Struthio camelus: one gene and its partner. The protein of the gene in region 1 interacts with the protein of each later gene in a biochemical or structural test. Links are inferred from orthologs where the notes say so. Each region holds a gene or a part of one and is shown on either strand. Other genes may lie near its edges.

Region 1 (15,337 bases):
ACCTAAGATGCAAATGATCTCTTGATGACTTAAGTTAAAAATGAATGATCCATAAGCCCTACACTTAGTTATATAAATACTTCCATCTACTAAGCCTTCCTGAAATGCAGCGGAATATTCATGCTGATTCGGAATAGCTCCTTTTTATGGAAAATACTGACCTGCTATCAACTGTACTTTCTTATCCAGCCTAAATACCAGCTCTGTTGGCTATGGTAACTGTCAGGATTTGTTTCTCTCACTGGGGAGCAAGAGGGTTCTGTGCTGAGTTGCGTTTTTTGTCCTTCTCTTTGGCTGCTGAGTGCAAGATTACGGATAAGCAATATGGATCCTTTCCTATACTATATTTAAAAGATTCATGCTCTCCATGTTGAGGGTTCTGTGACATACAAATTTTTGAATCATCATCTTCCTTTTAAAATCATATATTAAAATTCAGTACTCTAGCACCTAAGTGAAATATGTTTCATGAATTCTTTTTAGCATGGTGCAACTCTTATTATTAAAAATCTGGAACGTGTGTGTGCTTTTAAAGAACATAGAACTTTTTACTAAAATCCAATTTTACTTTGTCATAGTAGACTTCACTTTATGTCCTCCTATTTACTACGAGTATGTCATAAATATTTGTACTGCTCACATTCCCCATTAACTCAATAGACTGTTGGGTTTGGTAAGGAATGTAGGATTTATGGTGATATTAATATATTATGTCTAATTTGTGTAAAATTAACATCTAGTTTAATTGTTTAGAGCTGGAAGAATTATTCAGAGTAAATAATTTAGGCTCCAAAAACTTATGCCCAGTTCCTATCTGTAATCACAGGAGTAGGACAAAAAAATTACACGGTTTTGCAGTATAGGGACCTGATTGCATAGCTGGTGTGTTTTTCACTTAGAAACACAAGTAGTTTACCAAGGGCTTTTTGTTTGGAATTAGAAACCTCTCAGCCCTGGGCTCTTGCTGAATGATTAGTTTTGATTATACTTTGCCCAGCTATTAAGTGTATGAATCAGTTGCTCAAGTAAGTCACATGACATTGTTTCCACTTCCTAGTTGAAGAGCAGTGCCTTTTCAGCATTGCTTCATGAACATTTCAGCATGAAAACTTCTTGCAAGTAAACTAGCACCGCTCTCAGTGGATTTTTGCTTTCTGAAACATTCCTGCAGAACAAAAATTATTTTTATGCTTGCTTCCATAAAACAAATGAAAAAGATGATGGCTTCCGTCAAAATAAGTCCTCTATTTTTATTCGTGTGAATTCTGACAGTATTTATTTGAGGCATTCAGTAGCTCAGCTGTCAGCTGCCTTTAAAAACTAAGCCAGGTGAATGATTTGCTTCAAGCATCATAATTTGAGGTAGTCGGTACTGTTTTACTATAAGACTTTGAGATATCTTTGTTACCTCCCTACTTTAGTGTCTAAATTTTTAAGAAACTGGTAATCCATTCAGGAGATCTACTGATCATCAGACTCACCTAGTTTGTGGTTAACTCTTATTGCACTTAAAACAAGTCTTTATCTTATTTTACCTAAAGCACAAAATTCCAGTTTGAACAGAAAAATGTAAGTACAAAGGTCTTACAGGACTCATGCAGTGGCGAGTAATCTCTCCTTATTTTTATTAACAGGACTGCAATGCTGAACGTTACTGTGTGTAACCCCTCTGGGAAGACTTAAAAGGCAAAATAGGTGTTATCTCTGCAGCTGGGAGTGCCAGATCCTTTTGCTGGAAGTTTTCCAGTGACCTTTGGAGTCCCTGCAGGGAGTGAAGGGCCCTATCTCACGTCACCCGCCAGTGGTTCCACAAGAGTCGATGCTGTCCCATCAGCCTGTCAGTCTGGCAGTGAAATCACTCTGCCACAGGGTCCATATGCTGCTGACGGGAATTTCAGCACAGTATTCCAGCCTGTAAGTGTAAGCTGCTTCTGAAGTCTCATCTTTGTGCAGCGGTTATTCTGAGTAGAGTCAGGAGAAATTCTGGTCCCAGGAGTATCACTATTATTGGCTTGAAACTGATAAGAAAACTGCAATCGTCTTCAAGCCAAGATTGCCTCTGACTTGCTTCCTTCCTCTGTGTTTTTGTTGTTTCCCATGTACCGGCTGTTTCTTTGATCAGCAGTTAGAAGTCGTTTGTGACGTTCCCTGCTAACTCTAAGAACTTTCCAAAGCTTTCTTGTGACTCCCTTCCCTCTCCCTGCCTTTGACGTTTTTTGTTACATTTAGTAGGCCAACTCCTGCTTAGATTACTCATGCCAGTAATCCCTGGGCTGGCAGTGGGATAATTAGAGAAAGCTGAATTTAGCTCAGCAGCAAGGTCAAACTTTCAGATACAAGACAGCAACCACGGTGAGCAATGAAGCTGCTCTCTATTTGTATAGGTTCAGTACTTTACAAAACCTGACTTTTTAAAATATGAGCCAAATGGAGCCCCAAACCTTTCTGCCATTGAAATTGAACTTTTTGTGACACTAAGTTGACAGGTTGCACCAAAGGTTATTATCTTTGTCTTTCCGCCTCCTAGCACTTTGTTCCACAGATAGCTTGAGCATGGAATGTTTGCAGGCTGAGAACTAAAAAACGACCTACAGGATAGTGAGGCTGTCTCATTATGTGACTTGGGAAGCACACAATAACTTGAACGCAAGAGAAATGGTAATGCAAAAAGCCCATCAAATCCCTGAGTTCTCTGATGGGCCTTGTGCAGTTCTTATCCACCTAAAGTTCCTCCCAACAGTGTCAGAAATGTGCTTCTCTGGAGTGCCAGCTTGACGCTTTCACATCTGTACTACGCTACAGAATGTAACTTTTTACCACATTTTTACTCTTCAGATTAGTTTAGATCCCTGTTATAGTCTCGTCTAAAGGGGAGTAAAGTTGGTTTAGAGAGGAACACTACATCCATGGCAGGGACTGTTTTGTGACAGGATGTGTCACAAGTTAAAATACGTAGTTAAGAAATAGCGTGACCTTATTTTTCTAAGCTGATCTTCCTCTTCCTTTCCTGTCCTATAGCTCTTACTTCTCATATCATGTTCTTTTGATTGTAATTTGCTTGTGTAGCAAAGGGTCTCCTGCTATCCACGTTTTTGTGCCTAACACATTTTTGATGTTCCCCTAATATAATTTTTTTTGTTGTTGTTTTGCAGATACCCCCCCAGGATCATGTCCACAGTGCAAACAAGGACTGCTTAGAAAGGTTGATGAAGCCTAAGCCACGCTGTACCATTTTCTTTTTAAAATCCTTTGAGATCCATAGAAAGTTATGTCTAAGTCAGTGCTAAGGTTCTACATTACTTTAGTGGCCTTCCCAAAATGTATTAGCTCGTCTTTGTAAACGTACCTTGTGAAAACCAGAAGATTGGGGATTGACTTTTTTTGATCTCCTTGCATGTTGACAAAGTTGTGGTTACTCCGGTAGACTACCTGTTGCCTTAAAAGCAAATGTATGAGTACTGCTCCAGGATGACTGCATACATATTTCTGAAGTATTAATGCTAAATCAAAACACATATGTAATAGACAGTTGTGTATTTTTTCCTATGTGATTCAGTGTCATAGTGCAATGTTCATGGAGATATGCTCTAGGACGGTTACCAATATATGTGTTGAGCCTTAGCTACTTCAGTTAATACTGCAAATGAGTATTTTTAGGAGGAGCTGATCATCATAACACACCTTTGACCTCAGAGTGAATTATTCATACAAGCGACGGGATGCTATTTTGCTAACTAGCAGGATTTCCTTAAATAATGATGCTAACCCAGATGTAGAGCCCAGCAGTCTTTATGCATGGTGAGTCTACAGACACCTGTGTTACATCGGTGTTTAGTCCTAGGTGCAGTTCTGGGCATTTACAGTTGTGAGCCAGAGTTCCCTATACAGCTCATGTAGCATCTCAGTTAAAGGCCTGAATTCAGAGTTAACTGTGTGGAAATACAAGTAGGGAGCTATGTTTTTTGTTTTCTGGATTTACCAGCAGGTTAAACCTCCTTTTTTGGATTATATTGTGGATGATATGATGAGAAGTAGCCAGCCGTATATTAATAGCTGCAGTCTTCAGCAAGTATTTGGGAACACTCTTCCCCTAAAAGGAGAGTTGGGAACTGACTTGGGAGTGTGTTGTTAACTGCCATGTTAGTGTTCTGTTACGTAATTTGTCTGCTAGAAACTGCACCAGTTTCTGCTCAGATCAGAGAGTCTTCATGCTCAATTCAGTGGTGTAGGGGTAGGGTCTGTGAAAATAAGCTATATTTCCTATATGTTCCCTTAAGCCATACAATGGCAAAATCAAAAGGAAAAGAATGACATTTTCTTGGCAGTTCACTTCAGAAATAAATTTATTTCGAGATAAAAGTTAATTTAACTTTTCCGTCAAAATATGTAGAAATAGCAAGGACATGTGTGAAAAATAAAGCGTTTCAAATGTAGGGAAGCAGCAATGGAATTTGTGGATGCTCACTGGTTGTGATACTAGCTCAGGACATGTGAAAGCCAAAATTCCTAGCTTTGCCACTTATTTCCTGTGTGGCCTTGACAAGTCATTCCGTCTCCCAGCTCTCTAGCTATAAAACAGAGAGTAGCAACACTGCTCCACCTCCCAGGAAGATGTAAGCATGAATGAATTAAAGACTGTGTGAGCTGTTCATGATGAGAAAAAACACTGAAGTTTGCAAGATGGAGAGAAGATTGAAAAATAAATTCAGGTGGGACAGAAGGCAGGTTATTGTCTAGTCTGAGATAAAAGACTAGAGAGTGAATGGACAATTTGTGGATAGCGCAAATATTGAGCATGAGGATAATTGATACATATTAGTAGGAGAACTCTAAACATGGTTGGAGGAAGTCTTAAGGCAAAAGTGACAGTCTAATAATGCAGAAGAAAAGAGTAGAGTGAGAGATGGGGAACAAAACTGTTGCATACTTTTTCCTGGTATTTCAACTGTAACTTCTTTGGGACAGAACTTAGTGCGGTATCTGAAAAGCATTCAGAATAATCTGGTCACCATGCATATAATCATTGAAATATGATCCTAACCATAAAAGAGGAACTGTGTATGTAATGGCTCATTAAGCATGTAAAAAAATTGGGGACAGGTAAACCACTTACAGTTTCACAGCCTGATTGTACATGATTACAGGTGACAAACTGGAAACAGGTTGAGTTATGATCCCTACTGTGAAAGGAGGTGGGTGAGCAGTAGTCAGGCAGTGTCAGGAAGTGAAAAGATGCTCCCGGTCAACTAGTGTGGTAATTGCAAGTGACTGAGCTCTCAGGAGAGGAGCCAGGAGTGAGTAGAGCACAAGGACAGCACGTGTTGAGGACATGGCCACAGAGACCCTGAAGACAAGGGGAATGATAAGAAAAGGGAAGAGGAGTATAGCATAATTTATGTTTTTTCACCCTGGAGCTGTAAACATTGTTTCTCCAAATGAGAAAAGCCGTAATGATAAGTAATTCAGTCATCTGTCATTGGACAAACTTTGCACATCAGAAATGCTAATGAGTCACCAGTTGCCTTTCCCAGCTGAAGGGAAGGTCCTCTTTACTTGTCATACCATGCTGCATCCTGATCTACTGGCTTCCAAGGGGATTGGCTTTGGCACATAAAGCCTTTTCATTTGAAAATTGTCATGGTGTGGCAGCTTTTACATGTGCAGTATCATGTTTCCCCTCCCTGGGGCACAGGAGAGGGGAGAAGTGGGTGTTTTATTACAACACAAGAAGTAAGATGGTGGGCTGCTAGCTCTTTATTCACCCAGAAGACTACTGCTCCATGCCTGCCTGCTCCCATGGTACGCTTAGGGCACCGCGCTGTCCCCAGCTGAGGATATTGCCCCCCCCCCCCCCGTCATTCCCAGGGCAGCAGTACTCCTCTTCCTGCTCCACAGTGCCCATCCCTGCCCCTGGCCAACTCTGTCTCCTTTCCTCTCACCCCCTCCACAGGTGGGAGAGAGGAGGCGCTGGACTGTGCTGGCATTCACAGCTAGGAGAGCTTTGCCTGCAGACAGGGCATTCTGGAGCTTTGTCAAAAGCAATGAAATATTCTAATTTAACAAGGCAGTAAAGTAATTGTATAATGGCACTCTGCTTCCTAACTGAGGTGCTGCATGCCATGTCCGAACTATACTTCCAGGGCCTTGGACCAAAAGCAGAGTCCTGTAACGCCCGCTCGGCGTCTAAAGCCAGCCTGGATGTTGTAGCTGTACACACGAGGGAACCCCTTTTGCAGCCCACAGGAGTCGAAGGCCTGAGAACAGGACAGGAGCTGAGTCTAGGAGAAGTGAATGAGAATTCAATGCTCAGATGCCATTAAAAACCCCAGCAGTCACGAAATTCACTTGTATAAAGCAAATATATTTGCATTCCTTCATGATTATGACTTTCTTTTCAGTTTCCTTCCCTACTAACAGCAACCAGTACAACTAACTTGGTATAAATGACTTTTAGTGCTGTTCAGAAGTTTGGAGCAGCTTTTCTAATCCTTCTCTAGCTTATAGCTACTAGAGGCAACCTCTACTTTGAGATGGAAGAATAGCACCCTCAAGAGTTGACAGCAGTGCTGCTTCAGGGATCCATAATATGCAACAGACATCCTTCCTCTTTTAGCTGAATTAACTCCCGGACACATTGAAGTGAAGCAACAAGACAGAAATTTTTTCTTGATGTTAGATCTGAAATATTTGGTATCCATCTCTGTTAATGTGAATGTGGAAATAGGCATTTGTCTGAGAGATTATCAGCTTGTAAACGTTTTAGTTGCCGTTGAGGGAGGGACAAAAAAAGAATAAGAATGCTCTTATTTGTCGGAGTCTGGGAGTCTCATTTTAGACCGTATTAAAACAATTTGAACAGGAATTTATGTTTTCGTGCAGAAAGAGATTATTTAAAAGTTCTTAACTTAGATAAAAGGGGTCTGTGTAAAAAAGACTGAGCAAACCAGTCCTTAAGTTGTGGGGACTTGTTCGTTAATTACAGTAATTAGGAATGGAATCTGATCCTGAACTTTCTGATTTACTTTGAATGTTTTTTAATGTGTGCCTAGGCCTTAATTTCAAAATGATTATAAAATGTGAGAGTGTTTTAAGGCTACAGAGGCGTAGGTATTGTTATTAAGTGACAAACAGTTATATACTTCTGCTGTATTGCACAGCACTGATCTTTTATATTAAACGTGCACGGCCCCCTCCTGTTTCTGCTGACTTCAGAGTTAGATAAGGCCTTCGGAGTAAAACCGAACCTCCAGCTGGTGTTCCAGAAGAGAGCGTGTCCCAGTAGGCAAAATGTCAAGGGCTGGATTTGTCCCTTTTCTATGAATGGGATTGCTTGAGTGGAACAAGCAGAATTCAGACAGTCAGATGCAGTTGGGAGATTTTACTGTAGACTCTGAAGCATCCAAAGCTTGTTTCTGTCACAGGCTTGAGGGTTCTCTTCTGTAGCATGACCTTGTTCAGAGTTATTACTGGTATTTTGATTGTGCTACAGCTCCAAATCGACCAGTGAAATACCCCTTTCAGGAACCGCTTAAGTGCTGAAACCAACACGTACAATTTTAGAAAATATTGACCATGTATAAAAAGAATTTATGCTTGATTTTTTTCTACTGCTATTGAAAAGTGAAAGGTATATTCTGTAGTCTGTAAATTTACATTTTTCCCTGCTGTAGGTACAGACTCGATTCTCCTGATAGGATACTAGAATGCAACAAGGCTATCTGAATCTACGGGCCCTGCTTTTTGCTCATGAAACAGGTTCATATGTGTGATATGCAGTACAAAAAAAGGGTTCATTGAACACTGTAGTTTTGTTTCCTGTTTAAGACTTTGTCCCATACTATTAATTGCAAGGAATGTTTCAAACCCTTTCTGAGCAAGCAATTTACTGTGTCACAAGTTTCTGGTTTACTAGGACATCCAGGACGAAGAATTACAACCCTTCCCCCACCCCCTCACCCCAGCCATCACTATGTTGGAATCGTTTCCTCTGCAGATCTTGCTCTGGCAAATTTAGGCTGCACCTGGTCCAGTGGCTTTGGCATGTCCTTTCTCTTGTGCCAGTTTCAAAGCGAGCTTCTGGACCAGCAGTAGCTGAATGCCTGGGTGGCTTCCTGAGGTGCACCTGGAAGACAAGCAAAGGGCCAGAGAGGGAAAACAAATAGATCGGTCCGCTCTGCAGACTGCCAGGGATAGCAACAAGAGGAAATTCTGTGCATCCTTACCCCTCCCGAGCTGAAGCGTGAAACTCGGACTCTTAGGAAGTCCGTGGAGCTGCTGCAGGAACATACTGCGCTACCCTAGGAGAGAGGTCACGGTAGCTGAGAGGTGCAGGTCGTGTCTGCAGTCGGCGGTGCGGGAACATTGCTTTGCCCCAAGCAGCCAGGAAGCGGAGGCTGGGAAGGCAAACAGTGTCTCCAAGGAGGCTAGGGCTGCAGGGCCGGGCGCACGGCAGGCCGCCTGGCTGCTGTGCCGCTGCACGGCGCGGGGAGCCGGGGCCCAGCTGCACCCGGCTTCGTCTCGGGTTCGCGCCGGCAGCCGGCCCGCGCCCGTCGCGGGTCTGCGGAAACCTGCAGTCACATTTACCTGCTGGGTTCGGGCGGGGGGCGCGGCGAGGGGGGAAGGCACCCACGCGTTCATCCCTCGCCGCGGGGCGCCGGGCCGGGCCCCCCCCCGCGGCGCGGCGGCAGCCCCGGCCGCCCGAGCGGCGCCCCGCAGGTGCCCGCGAAGGGCTCTTCCGCGGCCGAGGCGGGCGGCTCTCGGGCCAAAGCAAACGCGCCAGCAGGCGGGCAGCCGGCCGGCTGCGGAGCGGGCTGCCCGGGGCGCGGGGGCGCTCACCGCCGCCCGGCCGACCGCCCCGCCGGGGAAGCCGGGGCGCCGCGGGATGCGGCGCAGCCTGCCCCGAGCCCGCCCGGCAACAGGGCGCTCTGGGCAGGTAACGCCCGCCGGCGAAACCCCGCCGTCGGTGCCCTGGGCAAACACGGCCGGGCTCCTGCTCCAGACTGGCCAAATATTTGCCAGTAAGCGCGGGGGGTGGTGAACTTTGAGACTTTCTCCGCAGCTAAGCCGGGGATTTGCCGGCTCGGGGAGCGCGGCGCAGGGCTGGCAGCGGGCGGTGCAAACGTCCCGGCCGCCTTGGGCCGCGCCGCCCCGCCGAGCGGCGCCGGGGAGCGCGGGCGCGCAGCGGCCCGGCCAGCGCGGAGCGGCGGCGGCGGGGGCGGCGGGGGCCGCGGAGGGGCCGGGCGGCGCTGCCAGGGCGCTAAGACCCGGCTGCGCGGCGGTCAAAGGTTCCCAGCAGGAGGTTGGACACTAGAGGGCGATCCCCGGCCCTGCTGCGGGCGTGTATATATAGGGCACGCAGGACCGCGGCAACCCACTAGCAACGGGGCAGGCAGGCAGCGAGCGGGGCTCGGGCGGGCTGGGGCGGGGGACGGGCTCCGGGCGAGCGGAGCCGGGCCGGGCCGAGCCGAGCCGGGCCGGGCCGGGCCCGCCGCCGCCGTGCCGCTCGCCGCCGGGGGGCCGCGGGGCGCCGCGGGCTTGGCAGAGCCGCCGCCGCCGCCGCCCCGTCCGAAACCTGGATTGCAGGAGCCCTTCACCATGCCCGGCGCGCTGTAGGTGCTTCATGGAGCAAGCCAACTTCTACGAGGTGGACTCGCGGCCCCCGATGAGCAGCGGCCAGCACCACCAGCTCCAGACTCCCCTGCCCGGCAGCGCCTACAGCTACAGAGAGGCTCCCTCGGCGGCGGCACCTGCTGCGGGCGGCGCGGAGCTCGGCGACATCTGCGAGAACGAGAACTCCATCGACATCAGCGCCTACATCGACCCGGCCGCCTTCAACGACGAGTTCCTGGCCGACCTCTTCCAGCACAGCAAGCAGCAGGAGAAAACCAAGGCCATCCTGGCTGGGGATTTCGACTTCCACAGCATGCATGGGGCCGGCGCCGCCTCCTCGGCGCCGGGGCACCAGCCGCAGCACCACCAGCAGCCGCTCTTCGGCTGCGTGGCCGGCTACCTGGACGGCAAGCTGGACCCGCTCTACGAGCGCATCGCGGCGCCGGGCTTGCGGCCGCTGGTGATTAAGCAGGAGCCCCGCGAGGAGGAGGAGGTCAAGTCGGCGGCCCTGTCGGCCCTCTACCCCCACCACGCCGCGCAGCAGCACCCGTCGCACCTGCAGTACCAGATCGCGCACTGCGCGCAGACCACCATGCACCTCCAGCCCGGGCACCCCACGCCGCCCCCCACGCCCGTGCCCAGCCCGCACCACCCGCACCACCCGCACCCCCCGGGCGGCCTGCCCGCCGGCGCCCTCAAGATGCTGCCCGCCGACCACCGCAGCAAATCGAAAAAGACAGTGGACAAGAACAGCAACGAGTACCGGGTGCGCCGGGAGCGCAACAACATCGCGGTGCGCAAGAGCCGCGACAAGGCCAAGCAGCGCAACGTGGAGACGCAGCAGAAGGTGCTGGAGCTCACCACCGACAACGAGCGGCTGCGCAAGCGGGTGGAGCAGCTCACCCGCGAGCTGGAGACTCTGCGGGGCATCTTCCGGCAGCTGCCCGAGAGCTCCCTGGTCAAGGCCATGGGCAGCTGCGCCTAGCGCCCGCCGGCACGGACTCGGGGCGCGCCGCGCCCGCCGCTCACCCGCCCTTACCTATCTCTATGACTTACATCGGAGCGCAGCGACCTGAGATTGTTTCACGGGGGGTTGTGTTTTTTTTTTCTTCTTCTTCTTCTTCTTTTTTTTTTTTTTTGGTTTGGAACAATTAACGACCAATAAAAGAAGCCAGGCAGCTGTAGTAGTATTAAAAGGTTTGTGCCTTAGGGACGACACACGAATAAGCTGAAGAACATGGTGGGTTTTATAAGGAGAAAGGCGAAGGGAAGGGAGAAAAAAAACCCCACGTGTCTACACAGGGTAAAAATAATAATAATAAAGCACACAGAGCAACCCACGTTGTGCCTTAAAAGCTGGCTGCAGGAGCTCTGGGGCTTTCTGCTCCCCGCAGCCTGGCAGGGCCTGAGGGAGAAGGGCGAGGGACGTGCGGGCAGGCGGGGGTCCCGGCTGGGGCAGGCTGGGGCCTCCCCGCGCGGCCGGCCTGCAGGCGAGGGCGCGTTGCGGGGCGCCCAGCGAGAAGGGCTAACCAAGGCTGAGAGGAGCTGGGCGCCGTGGTTCGGAGCACCGAGGCGTGGGAGAGCTGCCGGACTGCTAGCCGGACTGTCCCCGCCAGGCTCTGCGCCTTTCGGGGAGCCCCCTGGGCGCCCAGGACTGCGAGGGAGCACGGTGACCTCCTTCCCCCGAAACGAGGAGCAGCAGCGTCTTGTACTGTATGTCACGGCATGGCGAAGCACAAATGAATAAATACCTATCGATGCGGGTATTTACTAGGAACTTTCAGTGTATTTTGCTTTATTCCAGGACATGGAGCTCCTCGGTCTGCCCAAGCTGTGCCTCATGTAATGTGAAAGCCTTTCCGTGTATACTAGCTACACTTTATTTTTATTGCATTACTTAGCTCTGTGCCATCACACGACTTCCTTATCTGGTGACAGAGACTATGCCCTTGTGCTGCAACGTTATTTTATGATGTGTGTGGGTGGGTGTGAGCGCGCGTGTGGCCTTCCCGGCGAGGGCCGGGGCGGCGGGCCGGGGGGACCGGGGGGCCGGGGCGGCGGGCCGGGGGGGCCGGCGGCGGGCCGGGGGGCCGGGGCGGCGGGCCGGGGCGGGGGGCCGGGGCGGGGGGCCGGGGCGGGGGGCCGGCGGCCGCCGCGCAGCAGGCCCCGCGCGGCGCCCGGCACCTTTGGACTCTGGAGCTTCCCCCGGGCGGGGAGAGAGAGAGGAAAATAAACGGCGGAGCGCGTCCCCCGGCAGCCGGCGAGGGCTTTCCTCCCGGGGCGGCCGCGGCCCGAGCCGGGTCGGAACAGGCGTCGGGGGAGAGGAGCGCAGGGCGCCCGGGGCGCGTGTGCGAAGCGTGCGTGGGGCGTGTGCGTGGGCTCGGGGTATGCCTATGTATATGTATATGCACACACATTGGTGGGGTGGGGTGTTTTTTTGTTTGTTTGTTTGTTTTGAATTCGTGGGGAGGGAGGGGGGGACACCCCGCATATAAAGTTTGTCCAAGTCCTGGTTACATTCATAAATAAACAGCATATATCCTACCGTCACCCGCCGCCTCCCGCTGTGTCTCCCGTTCTTCTCCCGCGGCGCTACGAGGCGCTCAGCGCCGCCGCCGCCGCCTCGGCCGGGCCCGCGCCCCCCCCCCCCCCCCGCGGCCGCCCCGCCGCGCCTCCCGCCTCCCCCGCCGGGGCCGGGGCCGGGGCCGGGGCGGCGGCGGGGGGAGGCGGCGCGAGGGCCGGCGGCGATAGGGCGCTCGGGCCCCGCCCGGCGGCTCCTGCCGGGCCCGGGGGGAGGCGGGCGGCGGGCCGGGCCGGGCCGGGCCGGGGGCGGGGGCGGGGGCGGCCCCGCGGGTCGGCCCTCAGCAGCCCCTGCCCGGCCGGCGCCGTGACGGCCCTGGGGCTCGGGCCGCGCTTCCAGGTAAGGTTACCACCGCCCGCCGCGGGGCGCCAGACCGGGCCCCGCCGGCCCTGGACCCCTGTCAGCCCTGACCCCCGCCAGCCCTGACCCCCGCCAGCCCTGACCCCCGCCAGCCCTGACACCCACCAGCCCTGGACCCCCGTCAGCCCCTGACCCCCGCCAGCCCTGGCCCCCGCCGGCCCCTGACCCCCGCCGGCCCTGGACCCTCCGCCGGCCCTGACCCCCGCCGGCCCTGGACCCCCGCCGGCCCTGACCCCCGCCGGCCCTGGACCCTCCACCGGCCCTGGACCCCCGCCGGCCCTGGACCCCCGCCAGCCCTGACCCCCGCCAGCCCTGGACCCCCGCCGGCCCTGGACCCTCCGCCGGCCCTGGACCCTCCGCCGGCCCTGGACCCCCGCCAGCCCTGACCCCCGTCAGCCCTGACCCCCGCCGGCCCCCGACCCCCGCCGGCCCTGGACCCCCGTCAGCCCTGACCCCCAGCAGCCCCCGGCCCCCGCCGGCCCTGGCCCCCGCCGGCCCTGGCCCCCGCCAGCCCCCGGCCCCTGCCGGCCCTGGCCCCCGCCAGCCCTGACCCCCGCCAGCCCTGACCCCTGCCAGCCCTGACCCCTGCCAGCCCCCGGCCCCCGCCGGCCCTGACCCCCGCCAGCCCTGACCCCTGCCAGCCCTGACCCCCGCCAGCCCGGGCCCCGCCGGCCCTGGACCCCCATCAGCCCCTGACCCCCGCCAGCCCTGACCCCCATCTGCCCCCGACCCCCGCCAGCCCTGGCCTCCGCCGGCCCCGACCCCCGCCAGCCCCGACCCCCGCCAGCCCTGACCCCCGCCAGTCCCCGGCCCCCGTCAGTCCCCGGCCCCCGTCAGCCCCTGGCCCCCGTCAGCCCCTGGCCCCCACCAGCCCTGGACCCCCGTCAGCCCCTGGCCCCCGTCAGCCCCTGGCCCCCGTCAGCCCCTGACCCCCGCCAGCCCTGGCCCCTGCCAGCCCCCGGCCCCCGCCAGCCCTGACCCCCGCCAGCCCTGACCCCCGCCAGCCCCCGGCCCCTGCCGGCCCTGACCCCCGCCAGCCCCTGACCCCTGCCAGCCCTGGACCCCTGCCAGCCCTGGCCCCTGCCAGCCCCTGACCCCTGCCAGCCCTGGCCCCCGCCAGCCCTGACCCCCGCCAGCCCTGGCCCCCGTCAGCCCCTGGCCCCCGCCAGCCCTGGCCCCCGCCAGCCCCTGGCCCCCGCCAGCCCTGGCCCCCGCCAGCCCCTGGCCCCCGCCAGCCCCTGGCCCCCGCCAGCCCTGGCCCCCGCCAGCCCCTGGCCCCCGCCAGCCCTGACCCCCAGCAGCCCCTGACCCCCGCCAGCCCTGGCCCCCTCGGCCACAGCTTGGCCAGGCAGTCGGCTTGACCTGGCATGGGCCGCTCGCGCCAGTGGCTGCTGGCCCCCGGTGACGTTATTTCCCCACCCAGTGTCCACCGGCAGCGTGGCTCCCCGTCGCTGTTGCCGGTACTGGAGCGTCCCAGCACACGGTGATAACAGAATTCGGACAAGCCTAAAAGACAGGTTTGAACGCACAAGTGTCTGAGGCAGTGATACCTGGGCCGTAAGCCCACACGTATCCTCATAAAAACTCCCAAATCTGGTTGAATATGGTTGTACTAGTTCAAGTTTCACTCTAACCTATGCTGTGCCCACAGGCGTGAAGCAACATCCCAGTTCAGGCGCAATTTTGGGTGCGCAGAGTACCCTCACCACCTCCAGGAAGGGTTTCCGTCCTGACAGCAGCTGCGAGTGCATTAACATCTGTTCTCCTGAGCTGAGAAAGGGTAAGGTTGGTCGACCAAAAGCTGTCATGGCAGTCGGTCTGTGAGTGCTCACAGCATGGGATGTGTAAAAGATGAATCAGGATTAAAGATTTTGGTTTTCAGTTAGATTTAAAGCCGGGGCCTGGGAACTAGTAGAGTTAAGCTCTACTGGTGTCCAGCAAAAATGACTTTTACTCATGTTTCCTCTCCCCCGGCCCTGTAAAGCTGTGCTCCTGTAGCGTATGATGTGTTGTACTTAGTAATGCCATCCAACATGTAAAGTGGGGAAATGCTGTTATCATCTGAGCCGAGATTATTGCAGGGTATATGTGGGAGGGACTGTAATCTGGTGGTTAGAGCATGAGAATACAGTCCCGATCATTTGAGTTATGTTCTGAGCTGTGACTCACCGTGTGTGCGTGTGGTTTCAGCAAATCATTTATGGCCTCAAACAAAGCAGATTTTTCTCATTAATTTAAATGGACTATAGATTAAATAGGTCTATAGCGGCTGAAGACTCAACCATTCCATGATGCAAAATTAAGATCGCCTATCTACCGCATAGGTGTTTCAATAGTTATATAAACGCAGCGTGCCATGGGATATTGTGGAGTTGATAGCAGGGAAGCATTTAGAGATACTTACCTTGAACACAGTGCCAAAGCGAGCAGCTTTCCATAACCCTAACCCCAACCCGAACCATAGGCTGAGCATAGCCAAAGCCCCCTGCGTTGCCCAGCCATGCCGCTCGCGCAGCACGGTGCTCTTTGCGGCCTGCATTTTGCTTTGGCAGCCCCTCTCCCACTGCTGTGCATGGCTTCCTTTCCCCTCAACCCTAGCCCTAGGCTGAGCCTTAGGTGAGTCCTTCAAGCCATTGCTCTGCTGGAAAAGTTCTCACCGCTGCGTGCTTAGGGTGTTTGCTGTAACCACAGGGCCAGAGTGAGTATTCCAGCTCTGGAAGGAGAGACGTGGTGTTTTGTTTTGTTTTGTTTTGTTTTGTTTTGTTTTGTTTTGTTCTTTCCAGTTAT
Region 2 (15,034 bases), on another chromosome or scaffold:
ATAGCTACGTTCCTGATACCCTCATTACCCTCCTGTTCCCATGGGTAATGCTATAAGTGAGATTGCTGACTTAAGTTACATTTCTTTGCCATATGTTAAAGAGAGAGGGCTTGACCCGTAGCAGTGTTGATGGCCCTAGTGGAAGCTACAGACACTCAGTCTGCCTCTGCACTAACTAATCCACAGGTAATATGTGAGCTGGCCTGGTTAAGGTGATGCAGTTGGGAGAAATACCAAACAAATCTGAAGCAACACTTTAAAAGAGAAGAAAACCAACAGTCAAGCACTCATTTATTTCTTCTGTAAGTAAGCCTTTCTGTAAGTGGAAAAGCATTTTTGAGTGTCTGCATTCCTGCCTCACAACAAATGATTTTGTTTTCTTCCTTTGCTAGCCTTTGCTAACCATCAGTGAATCTGGAAACTTGAACAGCAGCTGCAGAACGCAACCTATACATTCTGAAATCCTTTCAGTCTTCAGCTGAAAGAAGTGGACTGATCTTTGGCAGCAAATATCTGCCTTGCTTTAACAACAATTACATTTGAGGTGAAGATGTGTTTGAATTTAAATAGAGGTAGGTTTCTTTTATCATCAGAGATACCTCTTTTCAAGTATGGCTAGGGCCATATTATCCAGAAAAAGACAAATATTTGAGGCACTTATATCAGGACTGCTGACTACAGTATTTAAATAAGTCCCATCCCAATCAGTGATGCATAGATTTTCAACTGCTAGAGAAAATTGCCTGTATTTATTGAAATCCATGAAGTTCCACTCCCCAAAATGTTTGGCCTTTCTCGTTCTAATTTACATCCTAACATCCAAGGAACTCCAGGCAGGACCAGTGAATTTCTTTCTCTGGACCTGGAATTTGAGCCATCCTGCTGATTTTTCATGGCTGGTTCTCTCTTATTGTTGGTGCTCACAAGTAATTTTCCAACTGAAATTGAAATACTACGGGCTTGATCATTAGCTTGAATTGCACCTGGCACTTCACTGGGTAGAAAAACACAACTGCCTTGGCAATTGAGGAAGGCTGCTGTGCCCGTCAGCTGACTTTTTGATGGAAGTTATAAAATGCTACTGATTCTTTGGGGTGGCTGTTTGTATTTGTTGGCAGCTCTTTGCTCTTTCACTTGCAAAGGTTAGGTCTTGTTAAGCAATAGTGTCCTCCTTATGCAGATGTGGTCTCTGTTGCGCACAACTCTGCTCCAGACAGAAGTAGCTTGAAAGAGTTAAAGAATGAAAATGAAGTGTCTGATGATGAATAAGCTGATCCCTATGATTCACAGAAGTGGAAACTCAACAGCAGTTAAAGCTTCAAATCTTAATCTGTTTTGGCTATAAGATATCATATGTAAACACGCTATGTTAACAGTTCACAGAGTAATGTGTGTCTCATTATTTGACGTCAGAAAATTTTGCAATAATATTTAAGGAAAGAAACTCATAGGTTGGGTTTTAGTGTTTTTGTTTTTGTTTTTGTTTTTCCATAAGGTGTGCTTTACAAATACAGAAAACCTAGATGTGGTTAACAGGGGTCTCGCACTGAAACATGCTGAGGATTGGTCTCTCCCAGAGAAGTTCCATGTAACATTTCAAGCGATTAAAGAAATGTCTGATCAAACATTAAAATAAATAAAAAGCAAAAGAGACCTATATGCAAAGACTTTCAGTGGTACCCTGAGGCATGAGCCATTAACACAGTTCTCTCGCTTGAACAGATTATCCCAGTTAAACAGAATTCTCCATTTTAAAACTAGAAACGCTCTCTGAAGTTTTCAATTCAGTGGGAGCAGGAAGTATAAAGATAAAGAAAAACACAATCAGGCAGGCACCTCATGGAAGATTTAGCACACTTGTGCTAAAAGGAGCACACAGTCCTCTGAATCAAGGATATATTCATCATTACCGCTCCTGAGCAGCGATCTTATTCATTCTGGAAGAGTCAAAAAGACTGGGCTAAGTCAGTGTTCCCTTGAGAAATACCCGGAGCAAAAGCAGGGGCTGCAGGAAGTGATACCGATGACTCAGCAGCCAAGGCCAACACACTGCCTTATTTTAGACAATGTCCTACTGGATATACTCATGTTTCCTCATGAGTGGCTGATGACAAAGGTCTTACCTGTGGTCACAAGTACCTCATGACGTTTTTCTCAAGAATAGCTCTAGTCTTGTGGCCAAAATTAACTTAGAATTCACTGTGCAACTTGATTTAACTTCTACCACAGTTTCAAGTGAGTGTTAATCTCCATCCAGCCTAAAAAATCTCCATGTAAAAACCTCTCTCCTGAGGTTCTGTGTGGCCCATTAACTGGAAATTTCAATAATAGGTAGTGCTCTGTTACACAGTAAGGGTGCACCTAGTAAGGGTGCTTCTTGGAGTGGAAAATGTTAGAATATCCTAAGGACCAGTCTTCCTTTCTCCTTGTTACAAGAAAAGATTATTCTGCAAAGGGATCAGTCATCGAAGGTTTTTTTAAAATATATATATATTTAACATCCTAACTGCAAATAAATCTTGCATTTAATTTATATATATATATATATATATATACACACACACACACACACACACACACACACACACACACACACACCTATATAATCATTCATATATAACAATTTATTATCTGGTCATAAAATACTGTTAATATATATTATTTCAAAGACATGAACATGGTCACAGCAGTGCTCAGAGAAAAATCATATGCACAGATGCTACCAGATTCTGTGTTGTCAGCAAGTAATTATAAGAAGTAAAAATATTACACTGATTGTTAATCAGGTATAATTCTAGGATGAATGGAAATCATATAGTAAATACCCATGCAAGTGCTTAACTTTGTGAGGCACGAGTAATCTCACTGAGTTAATGGGACTGCATTGAGGTAGATGAGAACTGTGTTTCATCATTTCAAAACACTGCGTAAAATGGAGATTCAGGGCTAAGGAGAGAGTTTGCCTCAGTTACTTATTGTGATTTTAGTCCGGACTTGAACACAGAGCTTGCAAGCACTCACATGAATTGAATTGCATGGGAAGCTTACCAAAGGAAGTGTTTGCTTGTAAACTCAATATGAATAGGATCTTCTCTGACCGCAAGGGAAATGGAGAGACACTCATTCACTGGTCGCTTGTGCAATCAACTTCTGAAGTAAAAACAGGATTTGAGGTTTAAAACCTGAACCTTCACATATCTTTCAAGTAACAGAAGAAGCCTTCATGTGCTTTAGTCCATGAAGAAACAAAGTCAGGAGGTGCTGCTCATGAGACTCCTTGGATTTGATAACAACTGGCTTATCAAAAGGGAATTATTTAGTTTTCCTAGCAATAGCAAGCCTCAGAACAGTTTCTGTGAAGGCTTGAGGGGAGACGTCTGAACATCATTACATTTCAGTTTGTTTGATGTCCCTGCGTGCCTGTCATGCGTTCTATATCTTAACATTGAATCTGTCACTCAATTCCAGAATGTCTTAGTATGGTTGCATGTTTATCACGATGTGATTTTGTTGTAAAAAACATAACTTGTAAGCTCTTTTTATCACTGGGCCACACAATTGCACCTCAGACTTTTTCCACGCGGGTTGCTTTCACATAGCACTACGGTAGTAGATTATGGACTATTTGCTCGTTTTAAATGCTGGCTTTAAATCTACTAGTCGTTTAAATATCATGACATGGCTTGAGCTAACTTGTAAATACAGATATTTACTTTTCATCATTTGCCTGACAGTTAAATATTAGCTGAAATATTTGTGTGTGATGACTCTTCTCATCTGATAGCTAAAATGATGAGTTTTTAATTTCTTCCCATAGCAAGCAGCCAGTTTATTTATAAGTGGCCTAATCTAACACAGATTTACTCTGTGTATCCCATGAGACATATTATCAAAGTAACCAGACCTGTCCCAAGCACTTGGGAAGTGGGGAGATGGTTACACAATTCTCATTGCCTCTGGCTGTTCTAGTTAAAAAGATAAAGGGTCAGAGAACTGGAGCAGCAGAGATGATAATTTCGTGAGCATCTAAGGAAAAGCAGCTGATCAGATGCGGGCAGGCAGTGGCTGAGGGTGAGACGGGTAGATGCTTGAATACCACATAATAAAAATTCCCTTAAATAAAGTAATACATCAGGAAAAGGGAATGCAAAAAGCTTGTGAAAGCATGAGCAACTGAAAATATCTCCAGCTTCTTAAATCTTCATCTAGCAGGTGCGATAGCACTGCTTACCTGTTTTTAAAAAAGGAAAAAAAATATATATGAAAAGGAATATTCACCCTACCTTGCCATGGCTCTAGCCAATGTGTGCTGAGCAAGACCTTTCCCTCTGCTGGGATGCCTCAAAACTGTGACAGCCATCCCACAGGCTGTCACCTCTGCTCCAAACGCCAACTCCCTGCCTAGCAGTTGGGATTCCTGGAAGAGAGAAGACAGCAAGCAACCCTGATTGCTTCGATCATCCTTTTCCAAGGCAGGATCAGATTTATGGCCAGATTTTGCACCGTCCTTTGACTGCAAACTCCTTAGAATTCTTTAGCGTTTGGAAAGTGTCTGTTGCACGCAGATTAGTGATCCGTGTCCTCGAAGGCCAGGCCTGCCCCACCTTACTCCTACCCAGCCTGTATTTGAGCATCCAAGGCTGTGTGCTTGGTTCCTTGTAGTATGCGGGATTGTAGCTCATAGTGTTTCGTTTTTCTGGCACTTAGGTAACAAGACTCATGCACAGAGTCAGTATTTTATCCCAAAGTTAAGTCTATAAATGTAATTCTGCAATGATCTGTGCTTTGCAGTGTTTTACAGTGCTATCCATCTGAGATGCATGAGACCGCCTTGCTTCATTTGGAAGGGCTGGCTTTAAATCTACTAGTCGTTTAAATATCATGACATGGCTTGAGCTAACTTGTAAAATACAGATATTTACTTTTCATCATTTGCCTGACAGTTAAATATTAGCTGAAATATTTGTGTGTGACCTGTTTAGACTCAAATTCATCCCTGGCATAGCTGGGAACTGCCAGCACCAGTATTCATCTCCTCTTATAACCTATGGCAGCCCTCAGAAATATCCTTTTTTAACGCACAGCACCCTGTAAGAGAGCACAGATGCCCCATGGATCATCCCAAACCATCCCCCAAAATGCCTTCAGTCCCTGGGCTTCCTGGGAACCCGTTATAAAGGGGATCAGCTGGTACAAAAGGTATTCAGATGCAGTAGTAAATGCCCAGGGTACCTCTGAAGTCCTTGAAACAGTTGAAGATTAAAGATGCTATGGCTCATTGCTGGCTCCCTGAGCAGAGATGAATTTCTTTCTTCATGTATGCTAAGCAGGTAGCATGAGAAAAATCTTCCTGGGCAGGGGGGAGAGATGAAATGACGAAGGCTTGTGCAGGGAAAAGAAGGAAGATATCAGTGGCTTTTGATTTCAAGAGGAAACTAATGAGGGAGATACGCCTGGATATGCCTGGATGCTTAAAAGCCCGGGGAGCAATCTATAACACGTGACTGTTGTGGGAAGTGTGGTAGACTCATATTCTGCACTACTTTTCTAACACTAGAAAGCTACAAAAAGTTCTTCAGTTCTTCACACACCGCTCCCTTGAATTCCTCCTATGTCCTTTCTGCATTGCTTCGCAGTACAACCATAGCAAATCACTTCTTGTTGTGTTCTGCCACACGTGTTGGGAGGAATTAGCAGGGAGGGGGTGCTGCATGTGGACCTTTTCTGACAATCTGTACCCAAAACTTAAAACTGACAAGGCGAGCATCATTAATTTGATTAATGATTAAACCTTTCATGGCTACTATATATTTATTCATGATATTAATGCTCCGAGTACCCAAGAGCATGCTAAGCATTTTAAAGAAGCAGCGGCAGCTTCCTGCTGCAATGAACTGCCTCCGTTTTGCAAAGAGTTTAACCCTGGGAGATTTACGCCTCGGTTCACCTCAGCCACATTTAGGCAACAGAATTAGGAGCATGGTCCACCTAGGAGTCTGTACAGCCTGCTAGGAGAGGCCACCGAGCAGCACTTTGGGAGGGCCACACGGCTCTTGGGCAGTTGAATCACCTTTTTGCTGGCCCTGGAGGCATCTGTGGGGCTCCTTGCTGATGCCTGCACCCGTCCGGCGGGACACCTCCAGGGTGGCCAAGCCCAGCGTCCCAGGGAGAGCATGAGGAGGCGGCTGGCCTGGGGGGGGGGACAAGCCCACAGGCCGTCCTGGGCTGGGTGCGACATCGCGGCACCTGTGTGCTCCACTCTCCCTTGCACCTCTGGTTGATCTTTTAGGGGCACGGGATGAGCAGGGGGCTTTTGGCCATCTTAAGGACCAGCCTCAGGAATCGTCAGGCTCTCGGTGTCTCGAAGGCAGCGTGCGTGCAGGTGCTGGCGGCGCGGGGCCGGGTCGGGCGCGCCGAGGACTCCTGGGCTGGCCGTGGCCGGACGGGCACCAGGAGCCCTCCAGTGGGGCCAGAGGCCGAGGAGGTGAGGGACAAGACTTGTGATTTCTGCAAGTGGTTTCTCAGCACGGTCTGCTCCTTAAGACGTATCTGAGCTCACAGATACTTTGTGCTGGCCTATGAACGGGAAGAGAGGGACCATTTGGAGGGCCAGGACCAAAGGCACGTACATACTGCAGGTTCACCAGTTGGTGTTTACTTTAACGTCTTCACTTCCTGCGCATACGAAATCACCACACGAGTCTGAAGGACAAGTATGGTGAATGGTGTTATATGCTAATAACGCTGGTGAGTAAGGCTTTGTAGCTCCACTGTTATTTTGGTGAAGTGTCTAGACTATTACCCTGCCCCTAAAAAGCACTGACCCCCTTCTCATCCCCCGCCCCCAGTACGCTATCTCAGATGTAGCATGCAGCCTATTTATGCAAAATCCTACCAACTAAATTAAACCTGCAATGGTATCCAAATTGTAAAAAGTCCAGGAAGGGAAAAATAAAACAAAAGTCTGATGGATAATCAGGCATGTTTTATCTATGAAAGGGACAAAATGAAAGAGCATGCTTTGAGAGTTGAGGTGAATTGCTCAGAAGCAATCTGCAGACATTAATAGAATCACATTTCTGAAACAAAAAAAAAAAAAAAAGGAAAATGCAACCCCTGGGATATCCCTTTTTGGCATATGCATTTTGTGTTTAAATGCATTAATGGGACTGCTATGCTATGAGTCATCCAGCACAAGAGTTTCATATGTTTCTTAAAATACACTAGGAGTAGCTGAAGGCATGCACGGCTTTGCAGTGCAGTTATCTATCAGGAATCTCAGCAAATACCTGCTCTTCATGCAACCACAGGCTTGAGAAATGGAGGAACCCTATCTAGTCCTCTAACATCCTGCTGTTTAAACGCACTAGCGTGGTGGCATTCAAGATGCGATACAAAACCGATTCTGCAGCTTAGCAAAAGCCCAGGCTCCTTGTATTATTGTGCAAGCCTCAGTACTGAATTACAGAAAATTTGCATAGATGTAAATAGAAGAGCCGGGAGCAGTTTCCTTCTGAAGAACTGTCAGAATTACGGCTGACTCTATTTTTTTTCCAGCGATCGTTTGTTGTCTGTTTTCCTCTTGTTTTTCCTCCATTTACTAGCAACCCTGGCTGCAAACCGACTTGGTGTTCCCTCAAGCCTGCGCTTCCGAGCCTGCCCGCGGCTGCCCAGGCTGACCCTGCGCTTGGCAGGGCGCTCCCTCGGCTCGCTCTCCGTTCTGTTACCTTTCAGGACAGCGGATGCTTTAAAAACGGGCAACCCCCAAGGCGAAGCGTTGCTGACGGGGCGCAGAAATCCGCGCTCGTGAATGACCGACGGTAAATACGCACCAGCTTCGTGATGCAAACTGCGCGGTGAGCAATGGCTAATTAGCGACAAGTGACAAACAGGAACTGCTGGCGATGCCAGCAGCGAACAGCACGGCGCCGAGCGCGGCTGTGCCCGCTGTCTGTCCTGACAAGCAGCCTGGCTTGGCTGTGTTGTGTTTGCAGCCCCCAGAAGGGCGCAGCGGTGCTGTCCCGCGGGGAAGCGGGGCGCTACGGCAGCTGGCACCGTTCCCCAGCGGCACCCTTGCTGCCGCTTCCAGCACGGGCTTGCAAAACGCCAAAGCCGTGCTCCTCCTTTGCTGCCCGCGACTCCCGCTCTGCCCGACAGCGTGGGCGCCTCTGAGCCACGCTTCCCGCGTGGGCGCCAGGGGCACGCGGGGCTCGGGGCGCCCTGTCCCGGCAGCGCTGGAGCCAGCGCAGGTGCGAGACGCCCGGCGGGGCCGCGGCCAGCGCGACGGGGCGGGCAGCGGCGGCAGCGCCAGCCTCCGCCCCGGCCCCGGCCCACTTCCCCTTGCGTCAGGGCAGGGAGGAGGGGATAAACCTCGCTGCCTTTCTTTCCTTTTTTTTTTTTTTTTTAAAAGCCTCCAAGTACTTTAGCGCGGAGTCGGCGGCAGATGGTGGACACGGCCCGGGGCTGCGGCGGGGAGAGCGAGGCGATGCGCCAGCCGCCGCTCCGCGCCTGAGCCCCGCGTTGCGGCGGCAGCAGCAGCAGCAGCAGCAGCGGCGGCAGCAGCAGCAGCAGCAGCAGCCGCCGCCGCCGGCCCGACCCCGGCGCGGCCGGAGGCTCCGCTCCGCTCCGCGCCCGCTCCGCGCCCCCTCCATGAGCCGCCCGGCGCCGCCGCCGCCGCGCCGCGCCGCCGCGCTCCTCCTGCCGGCCGCCCGCTGCCGCAGCGCCCCGGCCAAGCGGCTGCCGCCGCTGCCCGACGGCCCCGCCGAGGAAGCGCCGGCCGCCAAGTGCCCGCGCCTCGCCGACTGCCCCGGCGGCGCCGCCGACTGCCTCAGCGCCCCCGGCTCGCCCTGCGCCCCGGCCTCGCCCGGCGGCGGCGGCGGCGGCGGCGGCGGGGCCGGGCCGAGCCTCATCGCCTCCTACCTGCTGCTGCCGCTGGCCGAGCGCGAGCAGGTGTCGCGGGCGCTGAGCGTCAGCTCCGGCCGCGAGCTGCGCTGCAAGGTGAGCGCGGCGCTGCGCGGGCGCGCGGCTTCCTCCCCCACCACGCCGGGCGGCGGCGGGCTTGCGGGTGGCCGGGCGCGGGGCGCGGGGCGCGGAGCAGCCCCGGCGACACTGGCCGGGGCAGCCGGGCGGCGCCGCGGAGCCCTCGCAGAACACCCTCCCGCTGCTGCCCGCTTCCACCGGCGGCCAAATCCGGCTGCCCTCGGCGGGCGTTTGCCAGCGCGGAAAATAAGCTCCGGCTGTGGATTACCTTAGAGTACCTGAAAGGCTCTTGGTGGATATTAAAGGCTTTGGGTGGTGCTCCCCCGCCCAACATAAAGTTAACAGTGCTTTAATAGCCTTGGAAGGGGTCTCGGGAACAGCTTTGCTGCTGAGCGTTGGCGCTTTTCCAGCTCCCTCATCATTGTTTGGGGCGAGTTGCTACGAGAGAGGCCGGTTTCAACGCCTTGACAATGAATTTCGCTTTACTTTCCTCCTTACAGGTGTTCCCTCTCAAACACTACCAGGACAAGATCCGGCCTTACATTCAGCTGCCGTCACACAGGAACATCACCGGGGTCGTAGAAGTGATCCTCGGAGACACCAAGGCCTATGTCTTCTTCGAAAAGGACTTTGGGGACATGCACTCCTATGTGAGGAGCTGCAAAAGGCTGCGGGAAGAGGAAGCCGCCCGGCTTTTCAAGCAGATCGTCTCAGCTGTAGCTCACTGCCACCAGTCGGCCATCGTACTTGGTGACCTCAAGCTCAGGAAATTTGTCTTTTCTAATGAAGAAAGGTAAGCCCTTACCGCCTGCCAGCCTCTGGGAGGGAGCGCTAGGGAGAACTGCCGCACTGAGAAATGCCATGTTTTTAGGCAAAAAGTATTCCAGGGAGTGGAAATCTCCAGGTAAACCAGGCGTCACCTACAAGATCCGAGTACGTCCATGTTACGTATATTTAATAAGTCACGGATCTAATTGGTCCGCGCTTATTTTCAGTCCGATCTTGACTGATGAAGCTGAGGAAACTCAGCGTCAGCCTGCACTCATTCACTAAAAGTTTGACGAAACCCTTTGGTGGAAAAAGGGATGATCGTGCGAGCGCTCCTTAGCGCCAGATGTCCAAATATATATCATCCGTGCAATGCGTTCGACAAGAAATGACTAAAAGGCACAGACCGCGGGCGAAAGGAGGCTCAGGCACTAGGCACGCGAAAGGGATAACAGCTCTGCTCTGGCAGCAGGAAGAGGGAGGAATCCCCGTTCCCGGGGAGAGCCCCATGGCCCTGCCAGCTGCCCCTGGTGGTTCCCCCCCCCCCCGGCACCTTTCAGCGCCGAGAGAGGAGCCACCAGCAAGGGTCTTCTCTGATAGCTTCTTATCAGAGTTGTGTTTCTAAGGATAGATTTGCTGTGCCCTTTGAAGCTTTTCTCTCTCTCATCCCTGCCAGCGGTGACGTTGATGGTTTCTGCACCCCACGTACACGTGGACGTGGGCACGCACAGGAGCGAGGGTGTTACATGGTTAAATCTGACTTTGGGAATTCTTCTCTAAGGGGGGGAAAAAAAAACCCCACAAAGCAACACCTTGATAAAACTTAGCCTAAAGCATAGGTTTATAGAGAGATGATTCTAAGCCGATTCTAATAGGAATACTTTCACAATTACTTTTTAATTTTAGATGAGGGAGTTAGTTCACATTTCCCGGGTGTGTTTGCTGCTCTCGAGATCCATCACTAGCACGGCAGAGCCAGAAATGTATTTTAATAAGCAAAACTGACATTGATTAGGTGCTTATCCCATTGACGGCTATAATAAGCAAGAGCTTTAACGGAGTTGTGCTTAGTCTGATGAAACCTGAAGTGTTATTAGTGAAGCAGAGAAAAGTGTATTTTTTTGAACTCGGCTGATACTCCTTGAAGATGCAGCGTACGAACATGATAAGAAAATGAACTAGAACTGCCCCTCTGACACAGAAACAACCATATGTTGTCATGCAAAGAAAGTAATTCCTTTGAAGGAAGCTATTGCAGCTTTTCCCGCCCATAATGAGGTGAAACATTTGTTGAAATGTTAGATTGCACACAGTCTCGCTAATTTGGAAATATGCATTGCACAGGCTAATGTCATGTGCATCAAATTTGGCAACAAGAGGGTTAAGCAACGCGAGGCAGACTCCTCGGCTAGCAAGCACAGGTGCAGTTTCAGCGCTGCAGCAGCCAATCCCGGGCCCACAGTCCGCATTGAGTCATATTTTCCGTTTACAGAACCAATGGGTATTTTGCATTACAACAGGAGGTCACACCGAGGACAGGCTGCAGTTAACGCATTTACACCCCAGCAGACTGCAAGGCAGAGCAGAGCCCTCCCAGAGCACGTGAACGGCTCCTTGACTCATTAAAAGCTCTGCTTTAACCCAAACAGCAGGTCAGGGTGGACCCCTCTTTGGGAGGCTGCCCGTTGCAGTGGTACCAGCTGGAAAGGGCAAAAATAAAAGATGAGGAGGGTTGAGGATAACCCCAAGCGCAGAGGAGATGTGGACTTTGAGTCTGAACAACCGTGCAGCTGCACGCTGTTTGCTCAAAGCTGGGACTGCAAACAGCAGCGCGCGCTGCGCGCCGCAGCAGATTGACCCGGCGCGGTTATAGGGCAGCTTGCTGCTGTTCCTCGAGAGCCCCCGATACTGTTAAAGCCCCGCGGTAAACAAGCTGGCGTCACCGCCTGGGCACACAGGGCGTCACTGATGCACGTAGCCGCGCTTGCGCTGCACGGCTCCAGGATAACGGGGAGAACTTCTCCATCTCAGGCTGAAAAGTGGCCGCCCTCTCCCTTTCCTTTGCACTGAAGCGAGACAGGGATGCTGGGGTTGCCCCGGCTTTTCTTGTTAAAGTCGTGCCCGTCTTTCGCTACCGCAGATTTATAACGTGTGCCTGCCTTTTCTGCGCTTCTTAGGACTCAGCTGCGGCTCGAGAGCCTGGAAGACACGCACATCATCAAGGGCGAAGATGACGCGCTCTCTGACAAACACGGCTGCCCGGCGTATGTCAGCCCTGAGATCCTCAACACGACAGGGACTTACTCCGGGAAATCAGCTGACGTGTGGAGTTTGGGAGTAATGCTCTACACCCTGCTGGTGGGACGCTATCCCTTCCACGACTCGGATCCTAGCAGTCTCTTTTCGAAAATCCGGCGTGGACAGTTCTGTATCCCTGACCACGTCTCTCCCAAAGCCAGATGCCTCATCCGCAGCCTCCTGAGGCGGGAGCCCTCCGAAAGACTCACTGCTCCAGAGATCTTGCTTCATCCTTGGTTCGAAGCGGTCTTGGAGCCTGGATATACAGACCAGGAAACGGGAACTTCGGATCAAATTGTTCCAGAATATCACGGAGACAGTGACGATATTAGTTCCTTCTTCTGCTAATCCTGAAAATCTCAGAAAAACCTCACAATTCTCACGCACGGCATCATTTTTTTGTTTTTTTTTTATTTTTTTTCCACATTGCAAATTCACAGCATCTTAAAGTGCCAGTAGGGTCAGAAAAGTGACCTTGTTTAAAATAAATGTCAAGCAGTAGGTCCGCTGCCTGAGTGTATGCCGAGTCTCACCTGCTTGCTTTGCTGGTGGGTCCTTGCCGCTGGCCCTGGAGAACCCACGCAGGAGCCACCTGGCTCATCTGATGCCTCCGGTGTCCTCTGCTGCTGTGACCAGCTCAGTTTTGATCGCAGAGCCTTATTGCTGGGCACGGAAGAGGCAGAAACGTTGGGTTTCCCCATCCTCAGCGGCTAAGAGGGTCCCACCGGTGAAAGGTAGCGAGTGGGGGGGTCACAAGGCACCTTCCTAGCTGAGCAAATCTGACAGGAGTTGGTAAAAAGGGGAATCGACTTGGAGTGCCACCGTGGCAGTCTTGCAAAGTGGTTTTCTGACTGTAAGTCATGAGGGAAGGAGGTCTTAATCCGCCGCGTCCGGCTACCTGCGCGTTGCTCCAGTTGAGCTTTTTTCCATAGGTAAATGACGTGAAGCTGTTAAAGATCCATCCGTAAGACAAGTCACTACCGCGAGCGCTGCTGTGACTCTTTACGAAGGAGACAGTAGTGGATCTCGCAGCCGCACACCCTCTGATTTCATTTGCTGAACGTGCAAGTGCTTTAAACGTACTTAAGCCCAAAGTCACCATGGCCTATTCTATATGGTTTAATGCCCTCAGTGAGTTTTGCAAGTAGCAGGTTTTGTCAGCTCTGAGTGCCAAAACATATCCGTTTACCAAAATGTAACACTATCGGGTGGGGCGCCTTCCCTCCGAAAACCATAAGGGGTATCTTGTACAGTACATGTAAACACTTTTGTGTTTTCCTGCAGGCTCAAGTCTTTAAAACATCACATCTCTTCTCTCTCCCTGCACCCCCCCCCATCCCCAGGAAGGTAGTCTTAAGCATAAAATCTCTATACATCCTAAGTTGATTGTTGGGGGAAGGTTGTTTGCCTCCAGCTACGTTTTTTTTTTCCCCTCCCAAAAAGAAAAAAAATTTTTTTTTTTTTTGCATGATTATTCCTAGTCTTTCCAATGTGCGTGGATAACGAATAGATCTAAATCCTTAGCTGCCTGGCTTGGGGGTAAGTCAAGCTTAGTCCTGCCTAAGATTTCTGCTTTGTTTTCACGTTTGCGTCCAGTGTCAAGAGACGTCCGTTCGCGTTAGGCGCGAGCGCGGTTTTGGAAAGGGATGTTCGGTGGTTAGTGCGCATCCCCAGCACGGCCCGGCGACGACCAGGTCGTTGGAAGGGTCCCCCCGCGGCAAGGTGCCGTGCCACCACGCGTGGTGAGAATACCACGTATACCTCATGGGCTGCGTGCTCTGTACATACCTTACCGTTCGGGGCCGGGGGAGGGAGGGGTGTCGTCTTTTTTTGTTTTGTTGTACTTCCTTTGTCCTACTAAGAGGTGTCGAAGAGCAATTTAATGTGAATTCTTGTTGGCAATACTAACTTGACAGAATCATGAGCATTAAGAGCAGGGCGCTACCGCTCTCCGTTGCACTAAACCTCTCATGATTGCTTGACATTTGTATCTGTGATACAGTTTAACCCTTCTATGAAAAGCAGTACGTTTGTATATATTGGTAGAAGACTCTGCCAGAAAAGCTAAAAACACTATGTCCACCTTGTAAATATGTATATATCCTGTGGAAACCTGGATGATAAAGTCTGACTTGTAGAAAGTTTTAATAAACTTGGTTTCATAACGGTTGTTCCTGCTCCTTGCGGGGCCGGGGGATGGATGCAGTTTGAACACGCGCGGCTTCCTCTGAAACACGTCTTGCTCTCCAAGAGGATGGGGCAAATCTGCGCTTCCTGCACGTGCCCCGTCACGCCTGCGTCCACGCCGGGCGTTTGAGCACCGGCTCCCGCCGTCCTCGCTCGGGCCGAATCGCCGGCGGGGCTGGGGGCGCTTGGGGGGTAGAGAGGGCGGCAGCCTTCCCCACCGCTCGGGAAGTGGAAGGGGGTCCCTAATTTTGGGGCAAACGAGGAGAAACCGCAGCCCTCGCTGTTGCATTTCAGCCAGCGGGCTCGCCAGCCCCGCGCCCCCGTCAAAAGCGAAACGCAAGGTTGCGGGAGCCGCTTCTCTTGGTGGCTCCCAGCGAGGGCTATAAATAGCAGCAGGATGGAGGTTAGGGAATGTGCTCTCCCGGCAGCGATCGAGCCGTCCTCGTAATCCACCCAGCGCGGTGAGATCATCCCTAGCGAGCGGAGAGCAGGAAGAGAGGCTTGGTTTTTATTTATACTTTGCCTCATGTTTAACTTTGTCCTTCTGCTTGAAATCTGTTCACCAGAGCAACCGCTTCCAGGCAGCTCTTTGAGCCAGAGCAACGCTCGAAAGGCTCTATATTTAGAAAGTGAGCTGAAGGAGAAACGAGGGAGCAGGTACCCGGCCGGTGATAAAGAAAAGTGCACTGACTTTAATGAGGGAGTCAAGGTGCCTCGACTCCCGCTATAAGAAAGCAGCGATCTGCGCAGTAAGCATATTTTCTTAGCACTTTGCCGAGTGAATGTCAAACACCAAAATAAT

What was found.
Region 2: the proteins of CEBPA (region 1) and TRIB1 form a complex in vitro, tested with the Homo sapiens proteins (2 studies listed by BioGRID and IntAct, with this or other methods). The link is inferred for Struthio camelus from reciprocal best matches to the Homo sapiens genes CEBPA and TRIB1.

The regions. Positions count from the first base shown.
Region 1 is NC_090951.1:12,252,186-12,267,522, forward strand, and holds CEBPA (CCAAT/enhancer-binding protein alpha), read left to right. Parts: upstream 1-9,487; 5' UTR 9,488-9,619; coding exon 9,620-10,594; 3' UTR 10,595-11,555; downstream 11,556-15,337. UniProt on the Homo sapiens protein: Transcription factor that coordinates proliferation arrest and the differentiation of myeloid progenitors, adipocytes, hepatocytes, and cells of the lung and the placenta.
Region 2 is NC_090943.1:161,113,698-161,128,731, forward strand, and holds TRIB1 (tribbles homolog 1), read left to right. Parts: upstream 1-7,739; 5' UTR 7,740-7,810; coding exon 7,811-7,820; intron 7,821-8,410; coding exon 8,411-8,997; exon of another isoform or gene 8,998-9,033; intron 9,034-9,479; coding exon 9,480-9,772; intron 9,773-11,924; coding exon 11,925-12,393; 3' UTR 12,394-14,210; downstream 14,211-15,034. UniProt on the Homo sapiens protein: Adapter protein involved in protein degradation by interacting with COP1 ubiquitin ligase. The COP1-binding motif is masked by autoinhibitory interactions with the protein kinase domain.